7 linked regions of the Coturnix japonica genome follow. The main gene of each other region encodes a partner of the protein of the gene in region 7 in a complex. Links are inferred from orthologs where the notes say so. Each region holds a gene or a part of one and is shown on either strand. Other genes may lie near its edges.

The links.
Region 1: CEP290 (region 7) and TMEM237 share a complex: the UniProt entries of both Homo sapiens proteins name them as parts of the tectonic-like complex. The link is inferred for Coturnix japonica from reciprocal best matches to the Homo sapiens genes CEP290 and TMEM237.
Region 2: CEP290 (region 7) and MKS1 share a complex: the UniProt entries of both Homo sapiens proteins name them as parts of the tectonic-like complex. The link is inferred for Coturnix japonica from reciprocal best matches to the Homo sapiens genes CEP290 and MKS1.
Region 3: CEP290 (region 7) and TMEM67 share a complex: the UniProt entries of both Homo sapiens proteins name them as parts of the tectonic-like complex. The link is inferred for Coturnix japonica from reciprocal best matches to the Homo sapiens genes CEP290 and TMEM67.
Region 4: CEP290 (region 7) and TMEM216 share a complex: the UniProt entries of both Homo sapiens proteins name them as parts of the tectonic-like complex. The link is inferred for Coturnix japonica from reciprocal best matches to the Homo sapiens genes CEP290 and TMEM216.
Region 5: CEP290 (region 7) and TCTN1 share a complex: the UniProt entries of both Homo sapiens proteins name them as parts of the tectonic-like complex. The link is inferred for Coturnix japonica from reciprocal best matches to the Homo sapiens genes CEP290 and TCTN1.
Region 6: CEP290 (region 7) and B9D1 share a complex: the UniProt entries of both Homo sapiens proteins name them as parts of the tectonic-like complex. The link is inferred for Coturnix japonica from reciprocal best matches to the Homo sapiens genes CEP290 and B9D1.

What each region holds. Positions count from the first base shown.
Region 1 is NC_029522.1:9,998,900-10,002,963, forward strand, and holds the start of TMEM237 (transmembrane protein 237), read right to left. Parts: upstream 2,801-4,064; 5' UTR 2,758-2,800; coding exon 2,728-2,757; intron 2,660-2,727; exon of another isoform or gene 2,010-2,659; coding exon of another isoform or gene 1,992-2,009; intron 1,643-1,991; coding exon 1,611-1,642; intron 573-1,610; coding exon 562-572; intron 1-561. UniProt on the Homo sapiens protein: Component of the transition zone in primary cilia. Required for ciliogenesis.
Region 2 is NC_029534.1:112,298-115,779, forward strand, and holds the end of MKS1 (Meckel syndrome type 1 protein), read right to left. Parts: intron 3,101-3,482; coding exon 2,993-3,100; intron 2,504-2,992; coding exon 2,370-2,503; intron 1,808-2,369; coding exon 1,725-1,807; intron 1,643-1,724; coding exon 1,545-1,642; intron 1,090-1,544; coding exon 986-1,089; 3' UTR 501-985; downstream 1-500. UniProt on the Homo sapiens protein: Component of the tectonic-like complex, a complex localized at the transition zone of primary cilia and acting as a barrier that prevents diffusion of transmembrane proteins between the cilia and plasma membranes.
Region 3 is NC_029517.1:114,040,523-114,043,371, reverse strand, and holds part of TMEM67 (meckelin), read right to left. Parts: intron 2,839-2,849; coding exon 2,722-2,838; intron 2,134-2,721; coding exon 2,017-2,133; intron 1,935-2,016; coding exon 1,830-1,934; intron 1,476-1,829; coding exon 1,373-1,475; intron 396-1,372; coding exon 253-395; intron 1-252. UniProt on the Homo sapiens protein: Required for ciliary structure and function. Part of the tectonic-like complex which is required for tissue-specific ciliogenesis and may regulate ciliary membrane composition.
Region 4 is NC_029520.1:292,690-296,494, reverse strand, and holds TMEM216 (transmembrane protein 216), read right to left. Parts: upstream 2,419-3,805; 5' UTR 2,306-2,418; coding exon 2,293-2,305; intron 2,187-2,292; coding exon 2,085-2,186; intron 2,020-2,084; coding exon 1,927-2,019; intron 1,839-1,926; coding exon 1,637-1,838; intron 788-1,636; coding exon 772-787; 3' UTR 501-771; downstream 1-500. Other genes in the region: TMEM138 (transmembrane protein 138), read right to left, coding at 2,726-2,838, 2,929-3,004, 3,725-3,805. UniProt on the Homo sapiens protein: Part of the tectonic-like complex which is required for tissue-specific ciliogenesis and may regulate ciliary membrane composition.
Region 5 is NC_029530.1:5,164,353-5,167,852, reverse strand, and holds part of TCTN1 (tectonic-1), read right to left. Parts: coding exon 3,489-3,500; intron 3,100-3,488; coding exon 3,012-3,099; intron 2,402-3,011; coding exon 2,292-2,401; intron 1,026-2,291; coding exon 1,005-1,025; intron 561-1,004; coding exon 435-560; intron 1-434. UniProt on the Homo sapiens protein: Component of the tectonic-like complex, a complex localized at the transition zone of primary cilia and acting as a barrier that prevents diffusion of transmembrane proteins between the cilia and plasma membranes.
Region 6 is NC_029529.1:5,245,975-5,249,474, reverse strand, and holds part of B9D1 (B9 domain-containing protein 1), read left to right. Parts: coding exon 1-31; intron 32-98; coding exon 99-195; intron 196-587; coding exon 588-650; intron 651-948; coding exon 949-1,016; intron 1,017-1,177; coding exon 1,178-1,312; intron 1,313-1,751; coding exon of another isoform or gene 1,752-1,777; exon of another isoform or gene 1,778-1,928; intron 1,929-3,400; coding exon of another isoform or gene 3,401-3,465; exon of another isoform or gene 3,466-3,500. UniProt on the Homo sapiens protein: Component of the tectonic-like complex, a complex localized at the transition zone of primary cilia and acting as a barrier that prevents diffusion of transmembrane proteins between the cilia and plasma membranes.
Region 7 is NC_029516.1:38,934,392-38,937,891, forward strand, and holds part of CEP290 (centrosomal protein of 290 kDa), read right to left. Parts: intron 3,303-3,500; coding exon 3,186-3,302; intron 1,768-3,185; coding exon 1,622-1,767; intron 789-1,621; coding exon 633-788; intron 1-632. UniProt on the Homo sapiens protein: Involved in early and late steps in cilia formation. Its association with CCP110 is required for inhibition of primary cilia formation by CCP110.

The sequences.
Region 1 (4,064 bases), on a different chromosome or scaffold from region 7:
ACAACCATACCATTCCAAATTAAGAAAGAGTCCTTTTTAAAAGCAAGGACATATTTCAGCTTTTACAGATCAGGTGACAATTCACCAATGTTCAGAAACAGGAAAAGTACAGTAGATAGCAGGAAAGCAAAATAACTTATCTGTCTTACGTGTAACAGAGGCTAAATATACACATGCACATGTTAAGTGAAAACCTGAATGATACTCTGAAGAATAAACTTCAGAGAACTCTTCAGAACACAGTGACAACATTACAGTTGCCCTAACTCAGAACTAGCAATTAGTAAGAAGAACAAAAGATCAGATAGTTCTCACAACAACAGTCTGAATACCCATGATTGCATGCATTTAGGAAGAGTGTAAGGATCAATCCTTCAGTCCTTCTGGGCAGCTTGGTCTAGCAGTTGGCAACCCTACACATAGCAGGGGGGCTGAAACTAGATGATCACTGTGATCCTTTTCAACCCAGGCAATCCTATGATTCTATGATTCAAGAGAGGATAAAATGACACAAGAACTATATAGATGGTTACAACTCTCTCTGATGACAGAATAACTCACCCTGGTTTCCACTTCACGTTTAATGAGAAAAGGTGTTGAAGAGCAGCGCCAAAGGAGCAAAGGTAAGAAGAGAGTTAGTTTTTAATCAACTCACAACAGTGACATTCTCTCTACTTTTTCATTTCATTATTCCCCTTATTTCCATTCCCACGTTTATTTACTGGCAACTGTACACAAAAGGGTTAAGTGTACAAAGCAATCATCCAGACTCAACACTGTCCGTGACTGTGCAGTTTCTTGATTGGCCAGCTATAGATCAGATTAAAAGCGATAATCACCTGGTTAATTAAAACTTGCCTGACATGTAACAAACTAACAGAAGTTATGAAACATTACAACATACACATTACTAAAAATACACCTTTATATGTTGCCAATCATGAACATCACATTTGCCCTAAGGTACTTTGAAGGAATTCTGACATATCATGCCATAAAAATCCGTAGAATTGCTTTTCCTTCCACACTGCTCATTAAAATGCTGGAAAAAAGAAAAAAGCCCAGATTTCTCTGGATGCAGTCGGACTCGATGATCTATAAGGTCTTTCCCAGCCTAAGCAATTCTATGATTCCATATTATGTCAAACTGATAAACACCTGTGTCTCCATTTGATAACACCTAGCTTGATTTCAAAAATCCCTGTCCTGAAGGATTTGTGATTTAAACGTACCAAAGAATGTAGCAAAACAACAGCAACAAAGAGTTAAGGAAGAAGAAAGTGAAAAGAGAAACATCAGTAAAACTGATACAGATGCTAATAAAACTGAAGTTGATGTTTGTCTAAGACTTTAAAAGGTTTAATCTTCCTGAATATTAAAAGTGAGGTAAACTTCAATTAAAAATGAGTCAATTTCTCAGCCTCTAAAAACGTTAAATGCTTTATAATTCTTGTGAGGGATTCTAGAACAACAAAGCAGCAAGAAAAGCAAATGTTTAAAAAGCTACTGTGACTGTGCAGATACTCAAACTCATTTTCTTTCATTTCATTTCCTTTAAAAACACAGCAGTAGAGAACCACAATCAATCCTGTGGAACGAACTGATCTTACCTTGGCACTGGGGGGAGGGCACGTGGAGGGCGCTGAAACATAACGGAGAGACAGAAGTCAGCTTCTGACAGTGCAAAATCATCCCGAGGTCTGTTAAACCACTCCACAGAGAACAGCTGCTTTCAGAGGCAATAATAACTCACACTATCTATGTTATGCTTCTGAAACCAGGTTCTCATACACAACCAAATACATAAAGAGTAAGAAACACATATCTCCTATTGTCAATCTGAAATGCAGTTCTTGCACTGGATGATTTTGTATTATATAATAATACATAAGAAGTATAGCATTAAACATTTCCTACATTACAAGAACTCAGTTGATACCAACAACACAAAAGCCTGCCTGACCAGTAAAGCTCAAGGGCCCCCAACTTACCACTTGTTTTTTCCCCATATCATTGGAAGCAGTTCCCTGGAAGAGGCACTGTGAACAGTTCTCCACTCCTGACGTCGCTCACGCTGAACCTCTGCTAATTCTGAACTAAAAATAAGCTTCTGGCTGCCCGGATTAGCTGGCTGTAAACCTCCCTGCCCCTGGGCCAGTGCCCAGCACTATTCCTGCTAGAATCAATGGTGGTTTGCTCTGGCAGCAAAGCTTGTCCTAAATGGCACCTGCCCCAAACCCCATTGCTCTATGTGCTGGTAAAGGTTCAGGTGAGCTCTGCTCGGGGATTTTCACCTGCTAAGTGAGACTCGCCGCACGAGGAAGCTTAAAGCGAAGTTTAGCTCGGGGCTCATTATTGCCTTCATCATCGTTTGAGCGATAACTATCGTTAATTATCTAGGATATGGCAGAGATCTCCAGCCCTCAGCTGCAGCTGCCCATGGCCCGGAGGAGCACACCGCAGGCCACAGCAAGGGGGCGGCTGCACGAGATGGCCATTTGGAGACTCCATCCCCCGGTGCCGTTCGGTGAGCAGGGCCACGGGAACCCTCCGACGAGACACACCCACGGCCGCCCCAGCGGCACAACGGGGGCCGGCTCTTCAAACTCGAAGCCCCCCACCCACCGCCGCACCGAACCGCCGCCAACGCCCACAGCGCGGCCTAGGCCGGGGAAGGCTTTAGGCCCGGCCCCCCCCCCGCCCTTCTGGGAGCCCCGCCGCCCTCACCCGCTCGGGTCCCGCCCGCGGCTCCGCCATGCCGCCCCCGCCGCCGTCCCGAGCCCCGCAGGGAGGAGCCGCCGCTCGCTTCCGCCCCGCCCCGCCGCTACGGCCGCGCTCCTCGGCGGCACAGCCGGTATCCTCAGTGCGGCGACGGGGAAAGCGAGGCCTTGAACAGACCGGGATTCCGGCTTCGTTCGCCTCGTTATGAGTGACACTATTTGCAAATGAAGTGACAAGCTCTAAGTTAAAAGAAAATCAAACTGCAAAGGGAACGAACACCCGATGCTGTGCTTTTCTGGCAGCTGCTTTTCAATGTACATCCCGCTGCTGCGAGGGGCAAAGTACCAGCTCATGCACCAGCCCGGCTCCCGCTGCTTGTACTCACCCCATTCCAGGGCCATGCAGGGCTCTGCTTTCCAGTGTGTTTCCTGCCAAGGACCCCGCTCTGACTTCACTATAAGCTGGCACAGTGCTAGCTGCAAGAGCAGGCTTACTACATGAATAACTTCTTTATAGGCAGCGCAACCTCCTCCAGTAGATTTTCTCCAGGAGGAACCAGGCCGACAGGATAAGTTGTTTCCTCTGAGTCCAATAAACCTGTAATGTGAGATGAAGAGAGTGAGGAATTTGTTAGCCATAGTCACTGTACTCTTTGGTGAAGAGAACGTGCTGCCTTGACTCAAACCAATAAGAAAAGGGGCTTTGGATATGATTTTCCTCTATAATAAATCCATATTTTGTCAGTTTTCAGTCACTTGAGTTGATGGAATAAAAGCCAAGCCCTGCTAAAATACTGTGGCAGCCCAAGTGACCTCAGGTGTGCACCCACTGCTCACAACAACCACATATCGGTGTGCAATCAGCACTGCCTGGGCTGGTGTGGGACATGGAGGATGCAGTGCAGCACTAACTCAACTTAAAAACAAAACCAAAAAAACAACCAAACAAACAAAAAAACCAAACAAAGAATCATGAATGTTTTGGTATGTTTATGACTGCATTTTCAGTTGACACAAATGTATAACCTGTGAATTTCCAACAGCTGCAATCAGGCATTCACTCCAAAGAATAGTTTGGTCATCATATCTCTTTACCAGGCTTTTTTAAGCCCTCTCTTACCACATGCTGAGCTTCACAAAAACAAGAACACATCCCATTGGTTTGAGGTTTTCGTTACTCTTTAAAAAAAAAATAAAAATGTTTTAATAAAAACACTGGAACATTTGATTTCTTATACAGTAACTGTACTGCATATGTTATGAAGGCTGCTCTGAAAGTAACACCTGCTATTTCATTGTGCTGGCCCACAATGTCAGAAGCAGATGGTGGTGGTATGGCAGTGG
Region 2 (3,482 bases), on a different chromosome or scaffold from region 7:
ACTCAGCCCTGTGTGATATTTTTCTTCCTATCACTGTGGGTCTGCAGGTAGCCCCAGTCCTGTGAACGTGAGACAGGAACAAAAATAGGGGAATAAAAAAGGCTGAGAAAAGAAGAAGAAAGTGAGTAAAAACTGTGTAAACATATGCTTCCCCAGGAAGCAATGCAGTGTATTGCTGAGCTCAAGCAATGAGTTGCAGCTCAGATGAAGAGCTTAACAGTTCAAAGTTCAGCTGCTGTGCAAATGTCACAATCTGTTCTCATCTGCAACATCCAGCCCAGCTCTTCTATGAACTAAAGAGAAGATGTATTTTCAGTTGTATTCCCAAAGTCCTTCTGCTCATCCTTGCAGTCAGAAGAGCCAGAAATTCCACAGATAAAAAGAAATACAGAACAGAACCCTCTTCTCCAGTCTGGCCTCTGTCACACATAATTTCCTTGCTTTGGTTTCCATGCGATGAAGACCCCTCCCTTTCTCTAGGAATGAATCAGTTTTAAATCTCAGGTGGTCAGATTCATTTTACTGAAAACTGACCTAAAGCTTCAAATGCTGATGGTAACTATCAGTAAGTTCACTACTCAGTTAATTAAATCTCAAACAACATTCATGCCCTGACCTTCAACATAACCCTCTTCTTTAAGAAGAAAAGTAAATCTATCAAGTCAAGTAGACTTGAAAATTTTCTCATTGCCTACAATTCAATATTCAAAAAGCTCACGTGTCTCATGTCAGTATTTTAGTCAGCTCAGCAGAAACATGAACAACTGGCTCTAACATCAAGGCCTGGTAACAAAATGCCTTCAAACAGCGCACCTGTGGAAACGATTCTCAGTATGGATGTGCTATAGAGAGACATAGGGCAGCATCTCTGCCCCTGTCTGCAAAGGAAGGGCCTCAAAGAGCTTCAGGGCACTGGGAGCTTCTGTCAGAGAGATGTGGGCTGCCCCCAGGCCAGAGGCAGTGAGGCTGTCGGTCTGTCAGTCTGTCAGTCAGGGTTCTTCCACACACTGGAGGCAGAAGTGCTGATGAGGTCCTGGGGAAGGCTCTCACGGGCCTCCTGCATCCGCCGCCGAGCCCGATGGAAAGCCTCTGCAACACAGCAGGTGACAGCAAGTCAGAACACATCAGACAGCCGCAGGGAACGGGAAGGACAAGTCTGTCCAGTGCACATCACCTCTCAGAACAGGGGTCTCACTAAGTACCACCTGACTGCTGCTGCTCTTTGCTCTGCGCATAATGGATCAGAGACTGACTCTGCACACCGCAGCCACAAGTTATGTTCAGTGCAAGACTGGGCAGCCCAGCCCAGGCTTTGCCCTCATGGACCGAGTATCCCTTCTGACTGCTCAGGGCTGATGCCTCCTCAAATTTCCAGCAATGTCAGGTCAGAACATTTAACTTCTGTTTTAACTCAGAGAGAGCTCACAGTGGGGGATAATTCCACTTCAAGCAATGGATTCTCCTGAAATACCCTGACCAACCTGTAAACAGGAGGTAAAAGTGAGACAAAGGTCCTCCTCGAAGAAGGAGACTGAAGGTCCTACCCAGAACATTGTAGACAGAGCTCTGCTGGCTGAGGCCTCCAAGCCGGTCCAGAACGCTCTGCATGCGATGCCTCAGGGCATTAGTTTCCAGAAAGGCTCTGCACAGAAGTACAGCTCGAGGTCAGGGCTGGAAGAACACAGCACACAACACAGAGCTTGTGCTCACTTTGCTGCACTCACTTGGATTGCTGCAGGCAGTAAAGCCGGAACGTGACATTCCCTGTTGTCTTTGTGCGAAAACCAAAGCGGCTCAGATGCTTTCCCTGCAAAAACAGCACAAGTTAGAGTACCTACAGCCTCTAACCTATTACAGCAGGCTGACCCCAACGAGTGTGCCCCACCAGGACAAGCACTCCCGCAGGCACAGAATCACTCCTTGCACTGCTTCAAACAGAAACTGACGTCAGAGAGACAAGCAGACAGTTCCAGGCTGTGCTGAGGGCAGGACCTGACCACTGGGAAGATACAGTGCTGGGGGAAGGGTTCCATCTTGAGCCCTTTGTTCAGTCTGGGTGCCACAATAGGAGAAAAACATCAGCTTATTAAACAGATTCCAAAGGACAGCAACAAAGATGGTGAGAGGTCTTCTCTAAGAGGCTTGTTGGGCCTCCCAGGGGAGCCACTGGAACATCAAAGCAGCTGAAGTTAGAGAAGTGTTTGGACACAGAACATGCACTTTAGCTGTGGGTAGTCCTGTGTAGAGCAGGGAGCTGGAACTGATAATCCTTTGGGCTCCTTCAAACTTGGGATAATTTATGATTCTTTGATTCTAAGAGCATAATCCACCATTTCCCAGCAAGAGCAACATCCCACAGCTAAGCCTACCTTGAAGGTTGTTGGTATCCTGGCATAGGTCACGTCCTCCAGCTCAGGAGACCCACCGATGAAAAATCTCCTCATCTCAGCAACTGTACCCAGCTCTACAGGGCGCCAGGTCGGGATGGTGAGCACGTGGAGACCTGAGCCAAGACAACAGAACAGTTCAGCAGTACTGTCCGACAGTCATAGAGGACATCATGGTGGACGGATACCTACTGATGAATACCCACTGATTCCCAGGTTTTTCCAATGAGCCCCAGCCACACAGCCAGCACTGACACCATCCCCTTTACTATGTGATGATGTTAGACTAGTTGTGAGCCTGGGATTACATACACAACAGAAAGGGCCTACTGCTATTGTAAAGATGGACATGCAGAGCTTTATCACATACAGTTCTCCAGCAGAACCACTGGAAGAACAAGTACAGCAAAACACAATGCTTCTCATCATGGCAGAAGGTGCAGACACATCACATCACTCTGCTGCTTCACAGACAGCAAACTATTCATTTCAAAATGACACGGTGAAGCCTCCCAGAATTAGGTGCAGCTGTTCCAAAGAGAACCACTCAACTCCTATTTCCCTACACACTTAACATACTGCCCCAAAGATGTTTGGTTTTTTACCTGGAGATGTTGGCAGCACAACAGAACCATAACCTTCGACACGATACCTCTGCCAGAAATCCAGGGACAGAACCTCGAAGTAGAGAACGGGCCAATGCAGGAGGCATTCTGCAAGGAAAGGGAGCAGATCAGTTTTTTGAATGGTGAAGAGGGAGACCAACACAGAGAGAAAAACTTCCTCAACACTTCAATCCCACTAGCAAGGAGTCCTTTCTCTGCTTCTCCCAAAATGACAAACCTATTTCTATGTGGGGTATGCATGACTATTTTTCTGTGTAAAAGATGAAGCATCAGACTTGAGGATGAAAACACAGGGCTAAAAAGTTAAAGAACTGAAAAAACCTTTGTTTTGGTGAGTCTCTGAGAATCGTCAAAGTGATTCCTCAGTTGTCTTTGGGCAGTTGTGACAATCTGCAAACAACTGACGCAGCACAGAGGAGCCTTTTTATCTCTGATCTTTCTCATCACTGTTGGGGACTATTAACTTAGA
Region 3 (2,849 bases), on a different chromosome or scaffold from region 7:
AATCAGGTGTTCAACTGCCTTTAGTGATTTTGAAACTCTTCCAGTACCATCATCAAACATGATAAAATTAGTTGCAATTAATTTTGATTGTTTTTTGTGTTTTCCAGTGAAAGCTGTTTGTCATCCCTTTGTTCATGACATGCATATGAATATTTCCGGACTATTTAACATCACATACTGTGTCCAGGGTTTCATTCTGAAACTATTTAAGCTCTCATAGTACCCCACAGTATTTAAGTAGAAGTTGTTTACCTCCTGTTGCAAATACGTTAGAATAGCTGCTAAAACGAAACTTTGGGAAGCCAGATCCACAATGGAGAAAAACAGGATATCGAAGATGAGCAGCGTCGTCTCATTGCCGTAATACAGAACTTCACTGAAAGAGTGTCCTTCATCTACAGAGAGACAGTGGTTTTGAACGTAATGAAACATGCTTAAACCCTACCTAGAAGGAGCTTCAGAGATTAACATGATCTTTGTTCACTTAGCAATCAATTTCCCCACGAATGGGTCTTTTAAGCTTAAAACACCATTTTCCATAACCAAATTATTCATCCCTGATTACAGAGCGAAGTTTGTGATTCAAAGGAGGGATTCAGATTTTGCAGCCTTGGTGTTGGAAAGGAGACAGCAGAAAACGTTCTGCTCTGCTCAATAATGTAACCTGGGGATTGGTATTATACAAGGATGGCATATTTAGGATGTGTAATGGTCATTCTGTTAATATCAGTGGATTAGATTATGGCTCTGATAAGGTTCCAAGTTTCTAAACAGTGAGACTGGAGAGTCAAGCATTTAAGGGGCTCAAAATGAGGCCCCATCATTGGTTGCTAGTCAATACTTAGTGATGGCCGTATCTATGGATAGGGGCAGAGTAAAAGTCTGAACTAAGTTCAACAATGTCTCCAAAAATGGGTGGTATAATATAATCAATTATTTCACTACAACATCCTCACTGTGACCAATATCCTCTTTAGAGGAATTGTCTTTCTGCTCTTTTAGTTGCTTCACAGGAAATTTAGTTCTCTACAAAAACATAGTGCTGAACTATTTAAATACTGTGGATCTCATTCCATTTAAAAAGTGGATATCAGATCTGGATAGCAAGTCGAGGGAACACTTCATAAACAACTGCACATCTGTACACAGTATCCTCTCAAGACGCCTATGGGAAAAAAGAACATTGCAATTAAGCGACAGATTGTAAGTGGGATTTCTCTAACCTAGAGAGCCTCTTAGATACTTCCCTCACAATCATTTTAAGGCCGCTCTTGCTGTAAAGCCCAGTTTAGGTTGGAAATCCTGGGAGTAAATCTACACTGAAACACATATACTTATAAAAATACCAATCTGAAGTCACACATCCTTTTACCATTGTAGAAAATACTTTTCTCGATCGGTTCCATGAACTCCATGCCTAGAATCCGCTCAAGCAGCAACTTATCTTTGACAATATAATCCATTTCTTTATGAACCTGTAAGAAAAGCAAAGATGCAACTACCGTTTTATCATCTCAAAGAAAACGGACTCTTTCCAAAGTGGAGTACAGCCACTCAGACCTCTACGAATGAAGAAAGCATTGGTCTACCCCAAGATAAAAATAAACATGTAACAAAAGAGGATTTGTCTTGTTGAAGAGCGGGGCTGCGCTGTTGCACAGTACTCCAGTTTTTTATCTGAATGAAGCACTGTTTCAGTTCCTATGAAATCTTGAACAACAAGTCCTTATGGGCATACGCTTAAATAGAAACTACAGGCCTGCAGATTTACAATGTTTAGTCTGTACTTACTGTAGTTTTCCTTAATGTATTAATATCAATATACATACGTGATCAATAAAAGAACCCAGGAATCTGTTCATGGTGTTGTACGCCCTCGTGCTTTGTTCAAAAGTATTTGCAGATGAGTCCAAAAACCTAGCAGGGCCACGTCTCTGAAACACAACACGGCCGTGGCTTTAGTGGAAGAGTACGTTATTTTAAATACTATGCACAGAACCAAAATGTCTCACTTACTCTTGTCAGGGTTTCATGAATTCTGTCATACTGCAGTCTCATTTTTCTTGAAATGGAAATCTGAAATGTCTGGCCGTCTGTGTTTGGTAGCAAACCTCTCTGACTGCACAGGTTTTCCTACAAATTAAAGTAACTGTAAATTAACATCATTCATGTCATACATAGGCCAAAAAACAAACAGTCAAGGCTTCTAATTTATTCTCTTTCATGTGGAATCATAGAACAGCTCAGGCTGGAAAAAACCTTAAAGATCGTGGAGTCCAACTGTGACCCAACCGTAGTACCCTAACTAACAACCCTCTGCTAAATCATGTCCCTGAGCACCACATCCAAATGGTTTTTATACACATCCAGAGATGGTGACTCAACCCCCTCCCTGGGGAGCCTATTGCAGTGCTTAACAATCCTTCCTGTGAAGTGTTTCCTGACATCCTGATATGTACATACAGTACTCAATACCTCCGAATCTTTGAATTCACTGCACTCTTGAGGCTATTACTGCAAGATTTTTTTAGGACATGAAATCCTGACCCCTGCTGTCACAAAGTCATATTCATCTTCTTGCCTGCGTTCTACCCATTACCTTCTAAAACATCTTTTAAAGTTCATTCTGCCTTTATTCAAGCCTTTAAAATATGTATATATTTATTAATTAATTTAAGAAAATCATTAGAGTAGGTGTAAAACTTTACTACTTTTACTTACTGCTTCTCTCTTTAGGTTCATATTCATTTCCTCCATGTTGGTGTCTGCATGTCCATGAACTGAGCGGCCATGGATGTAATAACCAAAGCAGCTGTGTGACAAGATTAACACCGAAATCTAAAAGAAGT
Region 4 (3,805 bases), on a different chromosome or scaffold from region 7:
TCCACAGGTCTTTGTTAGGCTACAATCACACAATGAATTCCATCAAGTACCATCAGGTGAGCACTGGGGGGAAGCATTTGGTGGGTGAGTTCTGTTTTTGTTGGCTTTTTTTTTTACGTAACAACACAAATTTATAGTTTCTTTCCAATTAGTGTGGGGGGGAAAAGTGCAGAGAGGAACCTCTATTAAGCACCCGGCGAGGCGCTGCCCCCCTCTGCCCGCAGTGACTTAGGTTTGTTTGTCTTTCTGATAGGTTGGAAGTTGTGTAATAAACTTGATGACGTTGTCAGTCTTTTATATGGAGCTTTTCAAGAGATTCTGGTGGGGATGTTCAGGGGATGAAGGTGTGGATGGGCAGCAAGAGCCAAGCACTTCTGTAACGCCCCCCCACCCCCAATCTTCCAGCTCTTCCTAAGGGCTGCTGTGCCTCCCATGCTGGCTCAGGGGCTGGCTGTGGTAATGAGGTGCTCTGGCCTGGGGGGATGCCACGTGCCCAGGCACCAGATAAAAATAACTATTTATTGGAAAATAGTGATTTCTTCTTACAACGCTGTAAAAAAAACAAATTGTCTGTACCTTGGACTGACCTGTGTGTCACAAACCTCGGGGCTGGGTGGCAGCAGGGTGGGTGCTACCCAGGCACAGCCCTGGCACTGCCCACAGGTGCCAGTGTGGGTCTGGCTCACCACCACAGGCTGGAGATGGAGCCTGTGCCACCTGCTTGCTGCCATCTCGTGTACCTGCGCTGCTGTGGTCCTCTGGTGCAGGGCCTCAGTATGCATCCATGCTGCAAAGAACAGAGGAGAGGATGTGTGAGGAGAGGCTCAACCAGCAGAAGGCTGTGCTGCTTCTCAGTGAGACCTGGGCAGGCTGAGATTTGGGTGGGGGATGAACTTGATGAGGTTCAACAAGGCGCAGCGTCCTACACCTGGGGAGGAGTAACTGCATACATCAGTGCAGGTTAAGGGCTGAGCTGACAGAAAGGGGATCTGCAGAGGATTTGGGTGTCCTGGTGGATTATGGGTTGGCCATGAACCAGCCTTTGTGGCCAAGAATGCCAACAGGTGTCCTGGTTGACCAATGGTTGTCCATATGCTAGCAGTGTTCTTACAGCCAAGAAGCCCAACAGGACCATGGGGTGCATTGTGCAGAGTGTGGCCAGCAGGGCAACAGAGGTTCTCCTTATTCTCTGCTCTGCCACATCTGGAGCGCTGGGACCAGTTCTGGTTTCCTTGGCTCTGGGTAAATAGGAACCTGCTGGAGTGCTGCAGAGATGGTTGAAGCTTGGAGCACTTCCCTTACAAGGAAAGGCTGACAGCTCTGAGCCTGTTCTGCCTGGAGAAGACAAGGCTGAGAGGGGATCTGATCTGAAGTGTAGGGGTCAAGAGGGTGGGGGCACGCTCTTTTTAGAGGTGCCTGGTGGTAGTAACAAGAAGGGGCAGTAGGGAACCAACAATAGGAAACACAAGGAAAAACTTCTTGACTTTGAGGGTAATAGAGCACTGGAAGGAGCTTGCCCAGAGAGGTGGTGGGGCCACCCGGGTGCTCTCCTTTGTAATGCCCTCTAGCAAACCTTCTTTAGCAGGGGGTTGGACAGGAGAACCCCCAGAGCTCCCTCTGCTCCCACGCCACCTACCTAGAGAAGGAGGCGAGCGCCAGGCCGCCCAGCAGCAGCTCCATAGAGTAGAAGAGCAGGAGGATGGCACTGAGGATGGCCTCCAGGCGCAGGGCATAGGTCTGCAGCAGCAGGCAGTAGATCGCCATGATGGCTGCTGGCACAGTCAGGGCCAGGCAGACGGCCAGAGGCCCCTTGCGCTGGCACAGGTTGCCCTTGGAACCTGCGGGGCACAGGGTGAGCAGTGCAAGGCTGCACCACACAGTGTGACACCGGGAAACGGGGTGCGGGATAGAGGGACAAGGCCTCACCAAAGAAGATGCGCGTGGCCTCAATGCTGAGGTAGAGCAGCAGCAGCAGCACGTCCAGCAGCAGGTTGGTGAGCGGGTACGGCAGCAGCAGCACTGCGGGCACGGCCACGCTCAGCGCTGGGGGCGGGGGGCGGAGGAGCGGGAGGGCGGGGGCTCACCCTTGTAGGCGAAGATGAAGGCCTCCAGAACGAAGTAGGTCGCGCTGTACCAGCCGTTGAGGAAGAGCAGGACCTGCAGCGGAGCCGAGGAGCGCTGGCGGCCTGTGGGGGTCGCGGGATGGGATGGGATGGGATGGGCGAGGCCCCGCCGCCCGCCTCACGTTCCGCCCCCGGCCCCGCCGCCCCCCGCTCCCGGCCCCGCACTCACTCCGCGCCGCCATCTTCCATCTCCATGGGAACCGCGGCTGCAGGAGGGAAAGCGCTCGGCCGCTCTATCCCGCCCTCTCTATGGCCCTGGAGGACCGAGCCGCGGGTTCGAATCCCCCATTCCGCCCCTCGCTGTGCCTGCGGACCCCCGGGGGGGGCAACCCAATGGGAACAGCCCTGAGTAGTGGGACACCGAGAAGCTGCGTGATAAAAGAGGAGAGAGCCAGCACACACGGACTGGAAAATACAGACAATTTATTTCCTCACTACTCACAAAAACGCCCCAATCCCACCAGGGGCTGTGAGCTGTGAGCACCCTGCCAGCTCCCAGGGCACCACCAGGAAGAGGAGGAACACAGCTGGGCTGGAGCTGGGGGGGCTGAGACCTTCCATCCCCTGGCTATGAGGAGCTGCCCCTCCTGCAGTGGGGGCCATCAACCACGGAAGTGAGCAAACTCCTTGCGTAGCCAGAGCGAGTCCTGGTAGAAGAGCGGGTCACCCAGGTGCACTGCAGTCCTCTTGTAGAAGTAGCAGTAGAGCACGGCCGCTGCAGGAGGGAGGGAGATGAGGGCACAGGGACTAAGCTGGGGTGTCCCCCAGGCAGGTTCCTGCTGCCTCAGTAAGCACGAGCCCTTACCCAGCCGCTGGAAAACAAACAGTGTCTGCAGGCCTTCGGTCCAGATGAAGCGGCTGGAATCCCTCCAGCGCAGGTTCTGACACAGACGGAAACAAGGAAGAACCCATGGGCTTCACTGAACCCATGGGATCACTGATGATCCCGATGGGACGGAGCTGGCCCCACAAGGGCTGTCGTGCTCTTGGTGGCAGCTCCAAAGATTAAGCAGCTCAGGGGATTTGGCCAGCGAGTCAGGACCTATTCTAGCTTCAGACTTTAGATCCCTGCAAATCCCCATCAATCTCCTGCCCAGACGCTGTGGGTACAACATCCCTGGGTCAGCTTCAGTCACAGACCTGGCCCAGGGGCAGCAGGATGGGCCTTTCTCCTGTTGAAAAGCATACAGGAAGCACCTGCTGGCTGCTTTGCTTGTCAAATGGTGACTGTGGCACAGGATGGGGGGAGCTGAGATGGGGAAGAGGGGGTACAAAGCTGCTTGGACACAGCAGGGACCCTTGGGACTTGTTTTTCAGCAGGGTTTCAGCACTCCAGCCTCTGAGCGCTGGTGATTGCTGGGGATTAATCCCAGGTAAACAAAGCAGGATCTGCTGTCATGGCCTTCACTGGGGACCACTCTGCTGTGGTGGGTTTCTGTGCAAGGTTTTCTGTGTGGGTTTTCAAGCAGGTTGCAGTGCTGAGGCTGGGGGCTGGGATGAGGCAGCCCGATAGCTACAAGTAGGAGATTATGGCCTTCCTCCCACAGCACAGAGGGACAGAAGGGAGAAAGGAGCTGCGAAGCCAGCAGCCTCAAACCTACCATGATCCAGATGTGGAAGGAGATGCTGAGTGCCAGGTACGCTGCCGACAGAAGGATGGTGCCCTTGAACTTGTGGAAGAG
Region 5 (3,500 bases), on a different chromosome or scaffold from region 7:
TCTAGGTTTGGAGCCTCTTCAAAACTGGCTTCTTGATAAACTTCTAGGTGTAATTCTAAATGTTCATCTCCTTAAGATAAAAAGGTAATTTGCACTGTGTATTCCTCTGTCTCTGCTACCACTGTGCCTTAAGTCATATTCTACCAAGGATAATCTGGATTGTAAACTCATTGTCCATTATGTCATATATGTAGAGCAATAATAAAACAGATTTCATCTTGACTGCACCTTATGTTGCATATTGTTATTGTTTTATTGTGAAATGTACTCTTATCCTGAAGGCTGTGTTTCTCTTGTGATACTAGCTTTGAAAATGCCGCAATATATGGAAATGGCAAGGCCTCTATCATGTCTGTAAGTTGTGAATCAGAAATTATTTGATGCACACATGTTTTCTACTAAATGAAAGAGGGAAAAGGAAATGTCATACCTACCCCATGAACTACATTGATGCATAGTTCACCTGAAATCATAGGGTTCCTGAGATCATGGCTGGTGCTAAGTAAAGTGTGCCTTCCGTTCAGAGACTGGACAACTACAGACCGGACAGTAATATTAACCTGAAAAATAATTCATGTCATTTCCAAATATTATGTATACTTATTTTTGGCTTCTTCTGTATCATATGTGTGACTCTTCAGAAGTTCTGTTGTGCTGGACAGCAGACAATAGTCCTTTAAGCAAGAGTATTGATGAAGTTAAACTGAAACAGCAAATAAAATCAGCTAATAGTTTTATGTTGGGGCACTATATCAGATTAAAGTTGTCTGCAGATAGCGTATTATCTTGGTGGTGGCATGTAATCTTGGTGTTGCTAATACCATTACTGAATAAAAACCACAGCATTTTTCTCCTAAGGCACGTGTAGGGGATTTTTGCTTTACTTTTTGTTCTAAAGAGTAAGGCTAAAGTCACTGTTCTGATGAAGTCAGTGAAAAACTCCCACTGACTATAATAGGGTAAGAAGTCTACCCCCACCAGTTCTGAGTTTGAAAGATACTTACCATCTGACTTGACTTAGGTACCTAGAGGAGAATAAAAGAGCAATTTCAAACAATAGCAAAGGGATGAATTATTACAAGTAGCAGTTAAGTAAAGCAGTTAAGGTTTAATTGCTTTGCCTGTTCAACTCCCTATCATTACAGTGAATTCAGAATAGTGGAAGTCATTGGATGCACGCTGCTGTATCTAGGTAGTTTGAAAATAACTGCTATTTGTGGCTAGTATGCAAAATCTTACAGCTCAATGCTCTTCTTCCCCTGGCAGCAACTGGAAAGTTTCTTAGTGACTACCAGCAGTTTTCCACCAGACTGAGCTTTGACTGCACTCCTAACAAACATTTAAGGCATTCGATAAGTACAAGATAAATCTAGTATTTCCCTCTGACACTGTTTGCAACTCAGAACTAACACTGAAAAAGATTGTTTGCATGAGAAAGGAGAAAAGCATTACTAGTGCTGTGTATCATTTGTTTAATGATGGGGTTTTCTTCAAGGAACTGTTGTGTGGGTCCACTCACCAAAGGCTCCCGGCCTCCCTGGGCAGATGATTTTGACATTTCTTTTGCCAGTGGCTCCACCTGCTGGCACTGAAAGCGTTCCCTGCTCTGCCTTCTGACCATCCCCAAAACAAAATAATTCTTTTATTTTCACGCCCCATCTTCACAAGGAGAACTGCCTACAGACCAGCTTTCCTGACCATTTGGCCCCCTCTAATATTCCTCAACCTTTGAACAAGGGGATGCTGTATAAATATGAACCTCCTGTTCAAAAAGGAATGAAAAATTAACCTTAGCTCTGAAAAACAGCCACATACCAGATTTGATAGTAAGCTGGATATGAGCAAGATTGCTCTCAGAGGGGTAAAAGGTCACATTCCTTGAGGAGTATAATGAAGATTATTGCACACGTGTGCAATAATTCTATATTAACACCACTATTAAAAACTGAAGAGGATCCAACCTTACAGATTCTTTAAGTACAAGATTTACATGCACAAGCACATAAAGTTGCTGTTATTGCACAGTTAGCACAGTGCCACAAGCTTCTATCTTCTAGACCGTTATTTCTGCTGGCTAAGCAGACAAGAGTAAATGCTCCTGTTACTTCAGTGTGAAGTAAAAACACTTCTAAAAGCTTTATATAGAAAAGACTGCTGGATTTTTCCTAACCCATGGTTTAAATATCAAAAGGAAACATTATATCCTGTAGGCAATAGCAATTAATTATGGAAATACAAAGCAATATGTAATATGGGCAGGCAGCTACATGATGCTTTCAGATCATACTTACTGCTAAAATGCTGGAGTTGATATAAAATAGCATACTAACTGCTTGAACGTTGCCACAGTTTTCCACACTGATTGATCGAATGCATTTTGTAGCCTGGTGTACTAAGAACCCTGGAAGAGAGTCACAAAGTATTGCTGAAGGAAATTAAAGAGTAATTATGAAAAACACAAATGAAAAACTGCAGAAGAACAACTTTAACAATAACGATGGGTCTTGCAACCTTCTTTTTTACTGTTTTTCTCCCTTACAGATTTTCAAGAAACTGTGACAGCTCAAAATGTAGGGTTCAAGTCTGCAAGTCTGACCCCAGTTGCATTCAAACTGTGAAAGAAACCTCATTCTGTTAAAGAAAGATGTCTTAAAGAGGTTGCCCAGTTAGGTCATGCTTATGCAACACCTTCTACCCTCACAGCGTCACCCTTGTACTATTTTACTATGTCAATTAAATCAATTATTAAGTCAGTGGTGTTTTACCATTGCATAAACAAAACACTAAAAAGAGATGCCAACCAAGGGTTCCCATACCTAACTCTGAATATCTAACATAGCTGCAATACAGCTTCCACCCTATGTCTAAAAAAACCTCCAGAGACTCAGAAGATATCCATAAAACATTTGTTCACAGATCTTTATCTGAATTTACATTGGTGTGATCGCTTACTCACTGATTAAGCTCAAGTTAGAACAGAATTCTACTGGAATTCAAATACATTTTCCAACCTGCAGGGTTTGCATCAGAGCACCAAGAGGAGACAACAGGACTAGGCAGCCTGAGAAATGCATCCACCGTCTGTATAGGAACACCATACTGCCAAACAAAATGACATATTCAAATATATAGGTGTATTTCAGTTCGTGGAAAGTTTTAGAGCATTTGCATAAACAGTAAATCTGTATAACAGAAGTTATTTTTTCCATTACATCTGTCAACACCACATACCACATTGCACGTCAATTCTTAAGCCACCGCTAACAGCTTTCCTTGTTCAGAACAGCTGGTTACTTTTCTCGGATCTTAAAATCCTAGTTCACTTTTGAAGAAAGCTCATACAACACTACATGTTTCTTTTTGCATTTCTATGTTTAAAGACCAAAACAAAGATTTTCCTTTTACAGTACTGCAATTTTTTACAAGCAAATGCAAACTTGCTCTTTTATGAAGCAATTTAATATTACTTGAATCATACTCTCATGTACCTCATATCTGTA
Region 6 (3,500 bases), on a different chromosome or scaffold from region 7:
ATCACCTTCAAGAGCACCAACCCGGCCGGCTGTGGGTGCTGGGGCGTGGGGGGCGGTTTGTGTGTGAGGGGCCTGACTCATAGCCGTGTCTTTTGCAGGGCCGCAGATCGTAGTGAGTGTCTACGGACCTGATTTCTTTGGCAGTGATGTGGTCAGAGGTTATGGAGCCGTTCACATCCCCTTCACACCGGGAAGGTGAGGTGACAACCCTGAAATACGGGTTAGTTTCCAAGGTACCGAATAATTCCAGAGGCAAAAGCAGCCCTGGATCTGCTTATTGTGTCCTGTTTGTTTGCAGAAGGGACACAGCATTTCTAGCAGTCGTCCCATGTTATCCAGTAACTTTCGGCGATCCTTTAGGATTTTGGTACTCTTTAAAGCCAGAACTGCCCAAAGTCAGCCCACAAATGCAGTGGGTTTGCTCTCTCTCAAGAGCAATGTGTTTGCTCTACCCCCATTACTCTCAGCACTAAGCTTTCATCCTCTCCCCTGGAAACTGACTCAGTTATGCTCTTCTTTATGCAAGCAAACACTTCTCATAGAAGTATTTCTATGTTCAGTGCTCTGATGGGTCTGAATTGTTTCAGGCACAAAAGAACCATTGCAATGTTTGTTCCGGAGTCCACGTCCAAGCTGCAGAAGTTTACAAGGTAATAATTGAAGGCTGCTTAGTTTTAAAGATGTTCTTGCTGTTATTCACAAACGTCTGCCCAGCTGCTCACTGATGAGTCTGTGTAGATTCCTTCCATCACAACCAGTTTGGAGCTCCGTAAGTAAAGTCACATTTTCAGTTGTCTGAGTTTACTGAAGCGTTTACTTAAACTCAATGCCTGTCTCATTTGTTGGGTTTTCATCCTCTCAATTTAAAATGGTTGCTTTGAAAAACAAAGCCCAGCAGTACCTGAATTATTTTACTGGCTGTCTCCAATTGTTTCTTTTCTCTTCAAGTTGGTTCACGGGGAGACGTCCAGAATTTACTGACCCGAAAGTGGTGGCACGAGGAGAAGGAAGAGAAGGTAATTCTGCAGGAGCTCCTGCTGTAACCTTCGCATGACAACAGGCCACAGCTTGGCCATCTGCTTCTCCTCTTAGAAAAGCAGTCCTGCCCTGTTACTGAATTCAACAATGAGTCAAAATTTGCTCTGAACCAATGTTATTCACGTCTTCTTTCTCCTAGTAACGAGGGTCAGATCTCAAGGCTTTGTCACCATTTCCTTCAACATCGTGACTAAAGATATGAAGAAGCTGGGCTATGATGTGAGCCCAAGCGACATGCAGAACCCCTCTCTGGTGCCAGATACAGAAAGGATTCGTAAGTATTGAGCTCAGAACTGAGATGGTCAAAGGTACACGCAGAAATTAAGCACCAGGGATTGCTGGGGTTTCTCCTTCACATGGACAATGAGTATCTGACTCAACTGAGAACATTTTACCTGAGACCTTCATTCTAAAGACTTTGGAGTAATTACCTGGAATATGATTCTTTCAGAAGGATACAGGTTGAAAACTCATATTAATTAATGCTGTCAGATCTGTTTTTTATGCATAATATCAGACTATCAAAAAAGAAGACCTGCAAGGTATTTTTGTAACAGCCTTTTTTACACTCTTTTTATACTTCGGGAATAGGAAGGTTTGTGGTTGTGCTAATTTTCCTTTGTTTAAAACGTCAGTGCAATCCCAGTTCTTTTTATTAATAATGTTGTGGTAGAAGTGGGAAATTATTGAAGTTATTTAATCTTCCAAAACAGGAGGCAGGATGGAAATGTTCCAGTGAGACACACAGGCCTTTCTCTGTGCCACACACTTCTCTCTGCATCTTCATAATCCCACCTAGTGCTCAGTTTGTGCATCTAAATGAAATAGTTTGTGCACTGCAGAAAGAAACCCTTCATGGTTTTCATGGAGCAACCTGGGCTTTTGTACTTAAGAACAAGGTGATGCCTCTCATTTCCAGCTTCTATTTCTTCATCAAGTTGCAGGAGGGGGGGAAAAGGGACAGCAGCTTATTTTAGAAGTGTTAGAGAGATTGTGCTGTTAAATTCATGCCTGCTGATAATCATTCAGATCACACACTGTTGTGACAGTATGGATTCAATGAAGAGAGAACAAGAGTGTGAGGAAGCTGTTTACACAGATAATGTTCACATTTGTTGTAACTAGGTTTTCCCACTGCATAACCAATAGTGGGCATAATTGACTCAGCCATGAGAATATGCTATTGAAGTTAGTTTATTTATTTGATATGAATGAGGATCTGTTTCTGTAGGTAATTCTGTAGTGCCAATATCAGTAAAGTGTTATAATGGATGTATCTCGTGTCTTGTTAGTAACGCCTGAATGCGAGTTGATGTAAAAGCGCACCACGGCTGTGATAGTTCAAGCAGGGACAGACCCAATGTGACTAGTGTGTAGTGCAATACCCCTGAGTGACTGGAGGGTGAACCAGGATCTTACCCTTCCTCAGATCCTCATATTTAAGGTTGTTAGCAGAGGAGTTAGCGTATCTTACTAGAGATGCCGCCTACCTGAGCCTTTCGATGAGTTGATATAGCATGTGGTTTTTTCTAGTGTTTCGCATCCTTTGCTGCTGTATTGGTTTGTTTTTGTTTGCTGTAGTCAAAGCTTTGCTGCTTGGATGTTTTTGCTGTACTTTCTTCATTCTATGATCTGCTTATTCGGTTTCTGAACTCAAGCATTGTTGGTGAACAGGCAGATGCATGTTTAGGATGGATTACCTAAGAACAGTGGCGCATTGGGTGGTCACTGGAGCCACTAATAGAGCAAAAAGAGGAAATACAAGGGGAAACTCCAGGTCCGGGTCCATGCCTCAGTGCTCATGGATATTGGGAATGGGCCTCAAAGGGACAATGGTGACATTATTAAGTCCCGTTCAAAAATGTGACTTTCTGAATAAACTGGAATAAAATTTTTTGACTTAGGGAAGAGCAGTAGCAGCATCTGCTATAGCATGATCACTGCTACTATTAATGCAGATCAATCCTCTGAGAAGAATAGAGAAGAGAAATAGCTCTTTAAAGGCTGTACTAGGCAAGTGGAGAATAAAATTATGTCTTTGACGGAGCAAACTGCTTCACTTTCAAGTAGAACTTCCCCTCTGAAATTAAGGCCCATCATGCATTTGAGAGTCCAGACCTGGTTAAGATTTCAGCAGGAATGAGGGACCTCATACTACAACAAGCCCCTCCCAACCAGTAAGGCTTACGTCTCTGAGGGCAGAATAGGCCGGACTGGTTGACAAAGCAAGTGGGCTAATGCAGGCCTATCCAGAACCAAAACTGAACCAGATGTATACAATCAAGGCGCTCACCAAGTTGATGGATGTCTACAGGATGCCTCAAGTCAGTTAGTGTGACTAAGAGACTCATTTTATTGGCAGAATGGTACAACGCTGGGCAGAAGACAGCAATGCTGAATGGCGATTCCACCTGCACTGTAATCTGATGGGGCTTCTTAAGGCTGTGCTGAAGACAGACTCT
Region 7 (3,500 bases):
CTTTTGAGATGTGTACACCTTCTATTACACTATTACCTTCTGAGGTACACTGTGTATTGCAATAATGGATACAATGATTAGGAATACACTCCATAACTACAACATCTAAGTTCCAGAATCTTTCATCAACTTGAAATTATTACAATTTTACTAAAAAGGAGTCATGTATTATACAATGAAACATTATATTGTTTCACTTTTAAAATAACAAACCAATGTTGTATAATCTCTGTACATGCACAACTGCTCCCTGGAAGCTCTAAGTTCGTTCATCACAGACTCATATCACTTTTGCAACCTGCTCTGTTGTTTTTGTTTGTTTGTTTTTCTTTTTTTTTTCTGATTGTATCAGATTTTTTTCTTTCCTCATTTTGATGACAAAAACTCATTTACAGAAAGGGTTGTTAAGCACTGCAATAAGCTCCCCAGGGAGGTGGCTGAGTCACCATCCCTGAATGTGTTTAAAAACCATTTGGATTTGGTGCTCAGGGACATGATTTAGCAGAGGGTTTTTAGAGTTTGGGTACTATGGTTAGGTTGTGGTTGGACTCAATGATCTTTAAGGTCTTTTCCAACCTGAGTGATTCTATGATTTCATATTTTTTTACAGATTTTCTTGAAATGCCTCTCACCTCATGTGAGCAACTTCATTTTCTAAACTGAGATTCTGTTTCCTTAGCTCTTCCAGTTCTTTTTCAGTCTCTGAGGTTCTTACTCCAACAACATGGTCAACAGTAACACCAGTATTTTTCAGTTTCTTCTGAAGAGCAATTTTCTCTTTTTCTGTCCTGCAAGATGCAGTAAAAATTGCAGCTAAGCCTTTATTTGTATTTTCTGGCTTGTTTTGTTAAGGTGAAAATATTTTCAATCTGAAATAATTCTTAAAATTTATTTTCTCACTGTACAGCAACAGCTTTACAGAAATAATAGCGAGCATGAAGTTAGCAGCATGCTAGTCACAAGTTATTTGTTGTTCTTGTCTGTGTTTTATATTAAATTCCTGAGAGATTTATTCTGATCTCAGACAAATGCCATTTTGAAGCTATTAAAATCCACAATATAACAACAGTTACAACTACCATCATTACTTGGAGGTCATCACCAACCATCATTGCTGCAATCCTCCCAATACTGTACTGAAGTAAACTTAACATACAAATGTGGTTGGCTTATTTGCTATGTTTTGTTTAAAAAAAGCTTCGGTCTCATCATGCTAGAACTGGCAGTACTGCAGCAGCATAATACAACAGTGGCACACCATCCAATTCTAACAGTCTGATTCAGTAACACTGAGGTGAGATTAAGTCCATCTCGCTGAAACTTACTTGTTTCAGAACAGAACACCATATAAAGGAAACATAAGAAGGCACATAAATTAGTTTTATTCAGAGACAGTTTATTCTACAGGTGTAGAAGAAAAGAAACTTTGTGTTTTTTCCTTCAAGTGAGAGATAGTAAAGGAGTGGCCTGCTGCCTGAAAATTAAATAATTATTTTAATCTCAATAGCAATATCAAATATAGGCATCAATCTTGTAATGAGCTGTTATGAATTTGTGGCAAAAGTATTTGGATTTCTCTTATGCCATCACTTTGTAGCACAATGCATTAAAAACCACTCACCTGGAATAAAGTTCCTTCAATGTAGCGAACTGTTTGGCTAAAGTATCGGTTTCCTTTTCCTTTTCTTTAAGTTTGTTTCTCATCCCTTCCATTTTGATTTGCCATTTTTTACCTTCTTCCCATCTAACTATTTCCTCTTTCGAGGCCTGTGAAGAACATACACAAATTATATATTTCTTTTCAAACTGTTTTCTGAAAGAAAACAAACACATTGGAAAAACAATCACAGAGTATTTTACAATTTTAAATTTGAAACATCAAACCATAATTAGGTAAAAATCAGTGCAAGCTGGATACTCTAAACTTGCTGCAGTAACTGGCATAAAAGGATGATGCAATTTAATGTTCTAATATCAAATACATCTTCACATTTTAATGTTTACTTAAAAAAAAAAAAAAAAAAAGGGACAGTTTTTAAAAACATTAGATGTGCTTGTGAAATATATCCCTGTAATATAAATTACAGGTTTGTAAAGAAGATAAAGAAGGGCTTTTCTATGCCAATTTACCGGATATCTATCCTTTTTCTTGCAGCTTACCAGGAGGTTTTACGTTCCTCCTGCAAAGCTGCTCATTTGTACTTTCTTACAGTTAAAATTAAGCAATTATAAAATATGCCTGTATGTATATGATCACAAAAAATCACCCTGTAAACAACCCTTTTGTTCTATCACTGGACTTTTCCCTTTCTTCATTTCACCCCTGTACTTTCTGCCCTGTCTTCATTCTAAATTTACAGTTACTAAAAGACAGACAGAAAGTAAAGTCTTGCAAAAAGGAAAGATAAAAAAAGTTTGTGAAAAATGTCTTTAAACACTGAACAGTAAGTATATAAAAAACCTCAAACTAAGTGGAAACATAACTTTAGTACTGAATTCATAATTAATATAAAAGAATATGAACAATTACTGTGACAAGCCAGTAATTAGTTAACAAAATGGAAAAACAAACAATTGTAAAATGAATTTTACAATTTGCAACACCAGAGGCCCTGGGTTCGAATCCCCCCTGTGGCGCAAGTGGTAGAAGTGCCGCTCTGCTACACAGGAGGCACGAATCCTGAGGGCTGGACTCGATCTCTAAAGTCCTTTCCAACCCACACGAGACTGTGATACTGTGATACTGTGTGAACACATCTCCAGAACTTCCGGAAAGTGGAGACTGCTTTTGTGAAGAAAAAACACTTACAGACACATCACTGCTTCACACTTTTTGCTCCTCAAGTACTTCAAATTTTTATCAATGCATTGATTTTGTAAACGAGCATTTAACTTCACTTACTTAATCAGTTTCGCCGCTACTGATAAAATCTTAGTTTTCTACAACCTGTGGACTTTTAATTCTACAAAAAGGACAGGAAAACATTAAAATACAAGCACCTAGTACTAAGCAACAAGCAGTAACTAAGACCAGGGAAGGCAAAGAAGTGACGGACACGAAACTGCTTTTGATTTGATCAAGTCTGTCTGGTTCACAGTTATTTTAAGAGGCAGTGGAAAGAGCTAAACTGCCTACATTTAGGATGACATCTTTCAAAGCCACAATATTTGTATTTATCACACACCTTGTCTTCTTTTATACTTTTTTTTTCTGTTTCTTCACACTTCTTCTCAAGTTCATTTTCCAGTTTCTTAACTTTCTTCTGAAGCTCATCTATCAGATTTTGCTCACCAGCTCTGTTCTGTAAAATTACAAATTTTCAACATAAAGTTTAATTACCACTACCTAAGTATTTTTCTCCCTTCCAAAAATAAGGACTTCAATTCCAATTAGGAGAATTAGCTTACAACTTAAATGGTCCTTTAAAAATTATCTTTACTTCAACAATTTAACTCTGCATTCTAAACTGAACTCAGTATTAGTTAGTTGAATTCAGAAA